Neurospora crassa OR74A: one gene and its partners. The protein of the gene in region 1 interacts with the protein of each later gene in a biochemical or structural test. Links are inferred from orthologs where the notes say so. Each region holds a gene or a part of one and is shown on either strand. Other genes may lie near its edges.

What was found. The genes of interacting proteins can lie anywhere in the genome.
Region 2: the proteins of NCU06272 (region 1) and stk-13 form a complex in vitro, tested with the Saccharomyces cerevisiae proteins (2 studies listed by BioGRID, with this or other methods). The link is inferred for Neurospora crassa OR74A from reciprocal best matches to the Saccharomyces cerevisiae genes RRP5 and IPL1.
Region 3: the proteins of NCU06272 (region 1) and NCU09894 form a complex in vitro, tested with the Saccharomyces cerevisiae proteins (2 studies listed by BioGRID). The link is inferred for Neurospora crassa OR74A from reciprocal best matches to the Saccharomyces cerevisiae genes RRP5 and MAK21.

What each region holds. Positions count from the first base shown.
Region 1 is NC_026503.1:2,145,358-2,149,606, forward strand, and holds the start of NCU06272 (mito ribosomal protein S16), read left to right. Parts: upstream 1-1,449; 5' UTR 1,450-1,611; coding exon 1,612-2,070; intron 2,071-2,128; coding exon 2,129-4,249. Other genes in the region: NCU06271 (hypothetical protein), read right to left, coding at 1-121, 196-483.
Region 2 is NC_026503.1:2,644,677-2,648,551, forward strand, and holds stk-13 (serine/threonine-protein kinase), read right to left. Parts: upstream 2,704-3,875; 5' UTR 2,409-2,703; coding exon 2,295-2,408; intron 2,235-2,294; coding exon 2,145-2,234; intron 2,051-2,144; coding exon 1,124-2,050; intron 1,068-1,123; coding exon 936-1,067; 3' UTR 501-935; downstream 1-500. Other genes in the region: NCU00107 (mitochondrial inner membrane protease ATP-23), read left to right, coding at 1-121, 206-433; NCU00109 (TipA protein), read left to right, coding at 3,359-3,875. UniProt on the Saccharomyces cerevisiae protein: Component of the chromosomal passenger complex (CPC), a complex that acts as a key regulator of chromosome segregation and cytokinesis.
Region 3 is NC_026501.1:3,985,503-3,989,686, reverse strand, and holds the start of NCU09894 (CCAAT-box-binding transcription factor), read right to left. Parts: upstream 2,801-4,184; 5' UTR 2,796-2,800; coding exon 1,989-2,795; intron 1,932-1,988; coding exon 255-1,931; intron 193-254; coding exon 1-192.

The sequences.
Region 1 (4,249 bases):
GGCTAAAGTCTGCTCGCTTTTTTGATCTGAGTGTTCCGCCCATGATTGTTTCACGGGCGACTTGTGTCGAGGGTGTCGATTTGCGTGGCCATGAGCCATACCAACTCCGAGATTTCTGGGGCTGCGAGTCTGTTAGCATCGGGTGTAACAGGCATTAAACAGGCTGGATATGGTGGCTGAAGAGAAATAGGCTACCTCTTTCAGCCCTCGCTTGCTCGAAATAGGAGTTGTATTTGCGGTCGCATTGGGCTGGGATGTTGATAGAGCATTATCAGGTGTCGAGGTCGTCGTCGACGAAGGTGGGTTCGAAGCGGTCGGCATTGGAACGGCTTTTGAACGCCATATAGAGGCTGCTAGGCTCGAGGACGATTTCGGCGGCATATCGGATGTGGACGTTGAGGACTCGGTGACAGCACTACCATCCGCCGGCTCGGTTGGAGGGTTTGGTTTCGCCTTTTTTCGACGACCCATGGTGAAGACCATGGCGAGCAAGGCCAACAACCTAACAGATTCCAGTCCCCTAAGATTATAGGGCAAACTTTGGCCACATTGCCGTTTATTTCGTCAAGTTGAAAGGATCGAAAATGGGCATGCGACGAGTATTGCGTGGCGCCTATACCGTAGGGACAAGTCGACAAGCCGACGAGGCACCGCTCAGGCTACAAATCCGATGTGTACTTCTACTTACACTACACGGGTACCGCCGGCGGGGAGGGAGCGCTTTCATCCATTATCAAAGGCTCCAGCTCGGATGCATGTACGTCATTTGCCAGGTAGCGCACAGTCCAGGGGAACCGGATAGGTAACGAAGTACCTACACTTTATTACCTGGAGAGGGGGACCATGTGAACGAATGCTGATGTTATTACAAGTACCTACTTGATGGTCTAGTGTAGTATCAAATTCATTCTTCCATCAGACTAGAATGATATTCCAATACCGTACGATCCTAACATCAGACGACATGTTAAGTGTAGGTAGGTACCTCTAGACAATTGTACATCCCGCCTTGGAGAATTATATGTACCTCGCAATGGCCAATAGGTAACTCATTGATAGCACGTTCTCAGCAATCCCCTCTATCTCTAGGGTGTAGGTACCTAACGGCCTTCAGTACCCTACCTCTACTTACCGTGTACTTCCCTGCAACGCATGCGGCTGGCCCGTTGGCTGCCCGTCTCCGCCCGTGCAAAAGGTTCGGTACGTACCTGGCCATGAACGTGACAGCGTCCTGTCAGCTGACGCCGTGGCACTCGTGGACACAAGACAGGCGCTGCTAGTACCCCTACAGGGGAACCCCGCAAGACTCAGAACCCGCAACGAACCGACATGCACGCGGCCCGCGTACCTAGAGATGGCAGAATCGTAGCCGATGCTCACCGCATTCCTTATCGTTATCTGGCCACGGTGAACGGCGACGGACCCACCAAAAATTTTCGGCAGCGGACAGTGGAAGCGGCCTGGGTCAGTTTTTGTCAGTGCTTGTCGATTCATTCTGAAGTGTGAAGGCGGGCAAAGGGACGAGGGATCCAGTGCGGGTATCTCTCCAATTGCAACTCCAAACACATCCGTCCATCCATCAGGTCCTTTCTTTATACCCATCAGTTCACAATGGGTGCGCAAAAGCGCAAGGAAGGCCCGGGCGGCGCCCCAGTCAACAAATCAACACAATCAGCCTCCGAATCGAGACCGTCAAAGAGACCAAAGTCCAACGATGCCGGCAGCAAGGCGGGCGCAAAGACGGGCAAGCAGGGCAACAAGCCGGCTCCCAAGTCCGACAAGCCTGCTCCTCCTGCTCCTACCGCCCCGGCTACATCTACGCTGCTCAAGGAAGAGGAGCCAATGTTCCCCAGAGGCGGCGCCAGCATCCTGACACCTCTCGAATACAAGCAAATCCAAGTCCAGGCCAAGAACGACGCCCTGTTCGAGGAGCAATCCAGCAAGGCCACCGCCAAGAAGGCTGGTGAGAAGGAGGGCAAGCAGAAGAAGTCCAAGAAGAGGTCAAAGTCCGACGACACACCCGCGAAGCCCGATGCGGACGCCGTCAAGGTTGAAAGTCTCAACTTCAAGGTATGCGCCGGAACACTCATGGGTTCAGTCCTATCATCCAAGTACTAACTGTCCGCAGCGTCTGGTAAAGGGCTCCTTGGTCCTTGGTTCCGTCTGCGCCATCAACTCTCTCGACATCGCCGTTGCTCTACCCAACAATATTATCGGCCATGTCCCCATCACTGCGATTTCCGCCCCCCTAACAAAACGCTTGGAGGCCAGCGCCGGTAACGACAATGCCGAAGAGTCAGAAGACGAGAACGACAACGACGTTGACCTCGAATCCCTCTTCCAGATCGGCCAGTATGTCCGCGCCTACGTTGTATCGACGGTCGACGAGGCTTCTACACACACCCCTGGAAAGGCCAAGCGCCATATCGAACTCTCCCTTCAACCTTCTCTCGCCAACACCGGTATGGCGGAGCAAGACGTTGTTGTGAACAGCACAGTTATGGCCGCCATTGCCAGTGTGGAGGACCACGGTTATGTTATGGACATCGAGATCGCCGATTCGAAGTTGCAAGGTTTCCTTGCTCGCAAGCAGGTCGACAAGAGCATCCCCCAGGAGGCTCTGCAGCCAGGTGCCGTCCTCCTCTGTATCGTCACCAAGAACGCCAAGGGCAAGGTCGTTCAGTTGTCCACATTGGGTGAAACCATGGGCAACGTCGAGAACGTCCCTTCGACTGCTACCACCATCGACACATTCCTCCCCGGTACTGCCGCCGACGTGCTCGTGTCCGAGGTTTCCAGCCACGGAATTGTTGGCAAGATTATGGGATCGCTGGATGTCACCGCTGATCTGGTTCACTCTGGCGCTGGTCCGGATGGCATCGATCTTGAAGACACATACAAGGTCGGCTCTCGTCTGAAGGCCAGAGTCATCTGCAACTTCCCTACTGCAAAGCACCCCAAGCTGGGTATCTCTGTACTAAAACACGTTACCTCGTTGAAGCCAAAGACTGCTTCCAAGGACGACCAACCAGTGGTGCCATTGCAGGCTCTCCCTCACTCGACGATCGTGGAGAAGTGCACCGTTAAGCAGGTCGAGCCTGAGATCGGTCTTTACGTCGATGTTGGTGTCGAGGGCGTGTCTGGGTTTGTGCACATCTCCCGCGTCAAGGATGGCAAGGTTGATGCCCTCTTCGAGAACAGCGGACCCTATAAGGTGGGATCTGTTCACGCTGGTAGGGTTGTCGGCTACAACGCCTTTGATGGCATGTATCTCATTTCCTTGGAGAAGAGTGTTCTTGAGCAGCCATTCCTTCGCATCGAGGACATTCCTGTCGGTGCAGTTGTTTCTGGTGTGGTTGAAAAGATGGTGGTCAACGCCGCCGGTGTTGGTGGCCTTATTGTCAAGATTGCTGACGGTATCTCTGGCTTGGTCCCCGAGATGCACTTCGCTGACGTTCACCTTCAGAACCCCGAGAAGAAGTTCAGGGAAGGCCTGAAGGTGAAGGCGCGTGTGCTCTCGACTGACGCTGCCTCTCGCCAGATCCGCCTTACTCTCAAGAAGACGCTCGTCAATTCCGATCTTCCTGCCATCCAATCGTATGAGCAAATTGCTGTTGGCCAACAGGCGCTCGGTACCATCATCAACGTCTTGCAGCACGGTGCGATTGTGCAGTTCTACGGCAGGCTCCGTGGTTTCTTGCCAGTTTCTGAGATGAGCGAGGCCTACATTCAGGATCCCAAGGAGCACTTCCGCGTTGGCCAGACTGTCAGCATCTACGTCATCAGCTTCGACCCCGATGCCGCCAAGCTTATTGTTTCTTGCAAGGACCCATCTGCCTTTGGTCTTGAGAAGCAGTTGGCCCTCAAGAAGCTTCAGATCGGTGATGTGGTGTCGGCTAAGGTCACGCAGAAAACTGACGACGATGTTTTTGTTGAGCTTGCCGATAGCTCTCTCAAGGCCATCCTCCCCGTCGCTCACTTGACGGACAAGTCGGTCAGCAAGACTCAGTCTGCCCTCAAGAAAATTCACGTCAACCAGACTCTTGCCGAGTTGGTGATCTTGGAAAAGAACGAGGCTCGCCGTTCCATCATTCTCTCCCAGAAGCCCAGCCTTGTCAAGGCTAGCAAGGAAGGCAAGTTCCTTACTACCCTTGATGGTGCTCGCGTCGGAGATGAGGTTTCTGGTTATATTCGCAACATCACTGCTACGGCTGTCTTCGTCCAGTTCGGTGGCAAGTTGACCGCCTTG
Region 2 (3,875 bases), about 500 kb from region 1:
GCGCAACCGAGGACACTTGGAGGATACGCTGGCGCATGAGATGGTGCATGCTTGGGATCATCTGAGGTGGAAGGTGGATTGGTTCGGGGAGAAGAGTTTGAGGCACGCTGCTTGCACTGAGGTGAGTTCCCTCTCCTTTTCCTGTTCCGTCTGTTTCGTTTCGAGCTGGAAGGACAGTTGCTAATCTTTGGGATGTTCTGAGCAGATCCGAGCATCAATGCTTAGCGGCGAGTGCAGATGGACACGCGAGTCTATTGTCCGAGGCAATTGGACGCTTACCCAACAATTTCAGAACTGCGTTCGTATGCGAGCCATCCAGTCGGTTATGGCACGACCGACGTGCAAGGACGATGTACATGCAACAAAGGTGGTCAACGAGGTGTGGGACTCGTGCTTTTCGGACAAGAGGCCGTTTGAGGAGATTTATAGGTGATCTCGGGCCTGTATCGCGGATGCAGAGGGCGTTTTATACCATGTACTCCTGCTGTTTTTGTGATGAACGTTTCTTGACATGTACAATCAATGATACCACTTCAACTTGAGATTCCAGCTCTGATCTTGTGGCGCTGATATATACACTGGTCACACATGTGATACATAAACTAAAGTCAATGTCCAGTCCATTGCTCGCTAAATGCCGGAACGTAGTTACGTATATGCACAGATAATGAACTCACAAGCCTCCTCCCCTTGACAATACGGGGATCCTGATCCTAGCCCTCTTCCTCTCGCTCAAACGCCCAAGAACGCCCGTATTACAACATGAACAAGAAAAGAAAGGAAAAGAAAAAAAAGGAAAAAAAAAAAGAAGAAAAAAAACAAGAAAAAAACAAGAAAAACAAGCTAACAATGCAAGTAGGCTCCACGCTTCCGCAGTGCTCGAAGAAAGTTCGACGGATATCAGACAAAGTAAAAGCAAAGCCAAGAGACACCCCTCAGTTGCCCATCTTACTTGCCATTTTCTCCCGGTTCGCAGCTCTTTCTCCCTTGACGCAGTGCTTCAAGATCCAAGGGTGGTTCTCCACCTCCTCCAAAGGAAGACGCTTCTCAGGGTCGAGTACCAGCAACTGGATAATGGGTTAGCATTGAAAGACCATCCTTATGGGAAACAATGACTTCTTACCTTCTTGATCAGATCCTTTGCCTCCTTGCTGACCCACTCGGGAATGGTCATATCCGCCCTCGCAATCCTCTTCTGTGTCATGATCGGCGTATCCTCAAACGGCGCCTCGCCGACCAAAAACTCATACGTCAACACGCCCAAGCTCCACAAGTCCACTTTCTCATTGTACCAGTTATCCTTGGATCCGCTCCGGATCATCTCTGGCGGCAGGTAATCCAGGGTTCCGCAGAGCGTCTGCCTCCGGTTGTTGGGCGCGTGCACGCTCCAGCCGAAATCCGATATCTTGATTTCCCCGTGAATGCCCACTAGAATGTTCTCCGGTTTGATGTCGCGGTGGATGACGTGCTTGCGGTGCAAGTATTTGAGGGCGGATGCCATTTGCGCAACATACTGCGCTGCTTTCCATTCGGGGAAACGGTTTTCCTTGCGCAGGTGCTTGTACAGCTCGCCCTTGCCGGCGTACTCGAGAATCAAAAAGATGCGCTTGCTGTCATGGAAGTGTCCGTACAACTTCAAGATATTGGGGTGTCGTAGGTTGGATTGAATTTCGATCTCGCGACGCACTTGCTTCTCGACTCCAGTGCCGTGTTGCAATTCCGACTTGTAGAGCACCTTGAGGGCACAGATGAAACCAGAGCTGCGCTCCCGCGCGAGGTATACGCGGCCGAATTTGCCTTTGCCAAGCGGCCGACCGATTTCAAACATGCCAAGGTGGAATTGTTTAGGGGATATCGACTGTTCGTAGCCGGCGCTAGAGGATGACTCGGATGTAGATGTACCTGTCGAAGACACGCTAGCGGAGGCCATTGGCTGCGAGAGTTCGTCGTGATCATCGTCGTCGACTCTACGAATGCCGGCGTATGTTGTGGACTTGTGAGCGGCGGATGAAACAATGGTCGAAGATTTCGTGGCAACGGGAACGGTTCTCTGTGGTTTTCGTGGTGAGGGAGGTTCGCTAGAGATGATGGGCGGATTCTTCCTTTGCGCGATCTGCGAAGGAACAAGGAACGGAGGTGCTTACTACGGTATTGCCGCTTTGCGATTGAAGGGCTACTTTGAAGAGATTCGGCCTGCCGGGGGCGCTCGTGTGTTGGACTTGACTGGGACCTGCCTACGATCGCGCAAATCAGTCAGAGAGGCTATCACGCAAACAATGTTGTATAAATCATACCTTTGACTTGAGCTCTCTCGCCTTTTGCTGAAGTCGAGCGCCATCGCTTGGATCGTTGTTTTCGTCATGTATCGACATGCGCCCGAAGCGTGACTCCATTGGTTGGCCCGCCATCTTGGGCACGACGATTTCTAGGATCGCGAATGAGAAACAGTCGCCAGGAAGTCTAGGTGGGATGTTGCATAGATGATGGGAAACTAGCGGGCGGGCGCAAAGCAATACACTCGATTCCTAGGGCGTCGTGTTGAAAGCGCAGGCCACTTCAGTATTTATTGGTTGAAGTTGGTTGTCAAGCAAGGTTGGTTTTACACAAGGCCAGCGAAGTTGATGCTGATTGGAGTTGAAACGACACTTCCCAGATGGTGGGCCAGGATTGGGGCTTTATTTACCGGGGCTCAGTTCCGTTGCCTAGCAACAGTCATTGTCTTCCACTTGTCTGGCTGCGCCGAACCTTCCCTCCTGGGCTCCCTGATCAAACAACTGAGACCAGCAATGATAGGTGCAGCGGGAAGGTGGGCTGGGCTCAGCAGCGTCCAGAGGATTACAGGAGACACGCCCTTGGACTTAACAACCGGGAGAGACCTGACTCGGTGGTAATTGACACGGCAATGAATATGACTGTGAGGATCTCATTTGTCTGATATCTTTTGTTTTTCTCAGATTTGGCAGAAGCACCTTTGATGGCAGATGTCGTCGCAGCGACGGGATTAACCCGACATCCAAGCAACGGAATCAAGCCCTGCCGCCCCTGCAGGTGCGCGCTAACATCGGAGCTGGATGGGGGGAGGGCCCCGCTAAACCCCGCTAGATCTCCAAGCTGCTCTGAGCCTCTGACAGTTTTCATTTACTATCTGGACATGGCAAAACTATCGGCCTTCTTCGCACCATCAGCTGCTGGGAATTGTACCAAGCTTGACGTTTGACCTCAAATAACGGTCTGACCTCTTACATTTCCACAAGCACAGCAACAACTGGGCGTCAAATACCTCGAAACGCCCTCGCCCGTACACAACAGTGACCGAATCCCTTACCCGACGACGACGACGAGGACGACGACGCCCACCATGACGTCCGTCAAAATCAACCACATATCATCGCTCAATGAGCCGTACCCCTCCCCTTCGGCCCTCGAAGCCGCCACCACAATGCACGTTCAAGGCGCCTTCGTTGTTGCTACGCGTAAGCTGCCCATCCTCAAATCAGGTCCCATCGACGCCATGTCGGAGCGGCTAGGAATTCCAATTCCCGAGATGATCTTCGGTGATAACCTGGTCTCGATCACGCACCGGCCAACGGGCTGGTCGATCGAGTTCAATGCCGAGGACGCGCTCGAGCGCGTGGACAAAACGGGCGAAAAGATGCTGCAGGTGGCGTACGCGGGCGAGTGGAGCTCGAGCCGCGAGAAGACGAGCGCGGGCATCAGCGAGGTGGTCAAGCCGTTTGATTGGAGTTATACAACGGACTATTGTGGGACGGAGAGGCCCGGCTCAACCGGAGGGGCTGAAGGGAAAGAAACAAAGTTGCATGGGGACGAGAACACACCGGATATACCTATTGAGCTCCTGAAACGGCGAGACCCGA
Region 3 (4,184 bases), on another chromosome or scaffold:
AGCGAGGACCGGCTGCATGATTGAGCTTCCGCGCTTGGTCTCGGTAATCTTGGGGTTGCGGTAGACAAACTTGTCCAGGAAATGCATGAGGCTGTGGTTGGCCAAATCCGGCTTCGGCAGGCCCTTTTGACGGACGAGAAGGTTACTGGCATAAACGTGTACGGATGGATGGAAATGAGATAGAAGAGGAGCCTGGTGGTTTTGAGGTTAGTAAACTGGTTTCACATGCAATCAGAGTTCAAATAGGCACTTACCAATTCCCACAAGCAGCTTCTGTGCGCATTGCTATGCTCGGGATTTCTCTTTCGTCCATCATATCCTGTGGCACGACGGGAAGTTGGTGCGTCTTCACGCAAGAGACTGCGCTGCAGAGCCGCATCATCATTGACATCCTTGTAAGCCTCCACGCCATCATCTTCATTCTCCTCGGGAACAGTAAGCAACGAATGAAGGTCAGGAAACATGTTCTCCAGCTCGGAAATCAGATATAGCACCCCGCATGCGAAGGACGGCTGATGCAGGTTAAGCACCTGAACCAATCTCTTGACAAAAGCCTTCACTCTCCGCACGTCGGCATCATTCTTCAGGGCTCGAAAAAGTAGATTCATGTACAATGCTTGCTTCGATGACGTGATGAGTCTGGGATCCAATAATGATTCGTACAATGTCCGATAAAATCGGTCAACAGCGAGATGTTTGGTCACGGCGAGCTGTTGAATGAGCATGAGTGCTTGCACGCTGGTGTTGAAGTTCGACGAGTGCGTGATGCGAAACAAGGTATCGAGATGTTTTTCCATGGTCTCATCGTCGGCGGTAGTGAAGGGTACCGCACGATTGACACCAGTAAGCAGTGCGGATACGAGTTTTTGTGTCGTATCCTGCTCGTTGGCAGAAGCCTCGGTGTGATTTCGCTTGCCCTTCTTAGCTTTCCTGTTGCTGCCGCCAGATTTGTCCTCGGAATTTAGCGCTTCCAGGTTTCCCAATGAGCCAGTTTTGAGGAGGGAAAGGAAAGCCTCGAAGTAGATTCGGAGTAGCGTGTTGGCTATAGCGGGCTCTTTGGTGCTCAAGATGGTTTGATTCAGGGTGATGATGGCGTAGTATTTGGTGCGCAGACCTTGGCCTGGCTTGAGCAAAACCTCTTGCTCTACCGTGCTGATGACAATGCTTTTCATCGCAGGGTGAATGTTGAGCAACTGCAAGAGGAGGTATGACGCCCGAGATGCAATTTTCCGTTCGCGATCACCGAGTTTGTTAACAAGAAGTCGCAACAAATTGGCCTCTTGTTCCGGCTTGTCCCGGAGCAATGTGAAAACAAATTCCAGCGCGCGCATTCTCGAATGCTCAATCTGATCAGTCGACCAGATTTCGAGGAGCTGGACAATGCGAAAATACGCTGCTTTGAGCCAATCCTCGTATGCCCACATCATCAGGTAAGAATCAGTTAGCTTGGCTGGGAGCTTCTGGCCCTGAACCCAATGCAGCACAGCTTGATCTTGTAAAGCGGCCAGCAAGGCGGGTTGCATGTTGAACGGACGAAGCCGGCGATTACTTGGCAGAACTGTGCCATTGCCCAGCAGATCCACTAGAGCGCCCAGGGCAGCGAGTGCCTGACTACGGCTTTTCTTGCCGGCCAACCCGATCAGGGTTTCAAAGGCTTTCTGGTTGTGGAGAGGAGACTCTTGTATCGACAAGGTTAAGGCAGATACCTTGTCGGATAAGGTGCCGGAAGACATAATGGTCGACATGAACTTCTGAGTGGAGCTGGAGGCCTGGAGGGCGTTGTATCTTGCCGCGTCCTCCTTCAAGAGAGCGTCCGCGTAAGCTTTGAGGTTGGCAATCGCTGAAGAATATTGCCTAACGTCGGCAGATGGTGTGAAGGCAGGTAGGCCCTCGAGGTCGAGAGCATGCCAGTCAGGTCTGGGCTCAAAACCCTACTCAAGTTAGCATACCGCCAGGTAAGTCTGCGGCAGCGAGAGCGTCGAACTAACCAGCTTGTTCTTGCCTTTCTTCCCGCGCAGGGTGTCTTGGGCGGTCGTAGTTGTGCTCTCACTTTTTACTGTGGCAGAAATGGCTAGAGGCTGTTCCTGATCCTGGCTGTCATCCTGTTTTGTTTGTTCCGCGTCGTCGTCCTCTTCTTCGTCGTCTTCTTCGTCTTGTTCCTCGTCGACGGGGTTTTCAGACGACACGCTTTCAAGGTCATCCTCGCGGGGTATGTTCTGGAAGCCCAGGCTCAAGGCGAACTTTGTCAGTTCCTCATGAAATGACTTATCCAGGGATTTTTCGGGCGCCGACGCAGATTTCATGCCAGGTCCCTCTTCATTGTCGGAATCAACATTGGCGACAAGCTCAAGATCATCCTCGTCTCCGCCCAAGGCCAAAATTTCCTCCAGCAGAACCTCCTTTGTTGCATTGTGGGACTGGTCTTTGCTGGAACGGTCCTCTTGTCCTTCTTCAGTGCCCAGTAGAGATTTCTGGCGCCTCTTTGCATCTCGATCATCAGCTGTGGTGTTCGGTCTCTTGCGATTTGGTGACGCGTGTTGGTCAGTGCCGACGCCAGCGAGAGTTTGGTCGATCTTTTCGGTCAGTTGAGCAAGTGCTGCTGCTTCGTCGAAAGCCGGCCCCATGCCTTTCCTCTTTCTTTGCCTCGGTGACTTGGATGAGCCCATATCTCCTAAATCCGTCGTTGCCGAAATCAATGGACAGCGGGCCGGCACAATGTGTCTCGAGGTTGGCTGTTGGTGATGCAAAATAAACCATCTACGAGGAAGGGTTGGAAAAAAAAATGCTTGGATCATGCACCTAGCGGACCCTCGTGCGTCTTGCAGGAAGAGTGGAGCAAGTGGAGGTACAGATGTACACAGTACACTGACAAATCTCTATGTACTATGCAGTACTCTCCAAACCTCGGCTGGTTCATCATTGGCGCGGTACTTCGATTGACACTTTTTCTTATCAAGTTTCATTCGGTGGAGTTTGGCGATGCAAGCCTGAAATAGTGCTAAAAGTGTTAAGTCCTACGCTGGGTAATATTTGGAGAAAGTCTAATCGTACAGTTAATATTGTCTATCCGTACGGTGGTCTACTTTTGCTTTATTAAGTATAACTTAGTAAAACGGAGACTAATGAAACTGAAAGTGGCACCAAACTATTCGTTCATTTTTGAGGAATTTTTTAAGGTAGGTACCAAATCTATATCCCTAAGCATCATGGAAAAACTACCCCTTAAGCCTTTTTCATCTAAAATCTTATTAATTATTTATTTATAATAGCTATCTTCTTTGAGAGTTTCCTAGGGCTACTAGGTAGGTCTGGTCACTCCAAAAAGAGTGTTAGATAGAGTAAAAGATCAGAAAAAATATAATGCATTTTGGTAAGTTAATACTAAACTCTATTAAGTTAGAAAAAGAATATGAAAGTCTATTTTTCATTACCGTACGGATAGATAATATTGACCGTACAATTAAACTTTTTCAATATTTGATTTAGAATTGAATTGTACAATCTAACTTTAGTGTGTTTGTAGGTTTAGTACTAAAAAAAAGCCAATTTCTACTCTAGAGCCAGCTACCAAATGTCGAGGGTAGGAAAAACGTTTGAACCTCATTCAGACAGGTACTAAAAGGGGACTACTCTCTCATATCTTCCAGTCTTGGAGGTCCTAAATGAGACAAAGAGGGGTATAAGAAGGCTTCCATAGCATTTTCCACCCTGGCTATTATTATATAACGCTTCCAACAGAGGCCCTTTTCTCTCTTTAAAGGCTAATAGAAGCTTTAAACAATTTCTCCTATTCAACGTATAGCTAAAGAACCAAACTAACAAACAAACTAGTATTAACTTGTAGAAGGACCTACAACTAGGAGTTTAGTGCCCGTGGGGTATATATTGGATTTACTAATGAATCCCACTCACCGGACACTTCTATTTATAGTAATGTGCCTCGTAAATGCTAGACCTAATAAATGCAAATACTTAACAAATACTAGGAATTTCACTATATGTATTATTTTAGTATAGTATACCTACTAGCTGCTAAGTGCTAGCCGTTAGCCGGCTCGCTATATAAATTTACAATTGCCAGGGACCCCTCGAGGGAGCTAATAAGGGGTGTCAAATGTACCTAATACCCCTTATTAGAGCTGTTAGGGGTACTAGAAACCCTCCAAATAGTATAGCTAGCTGCC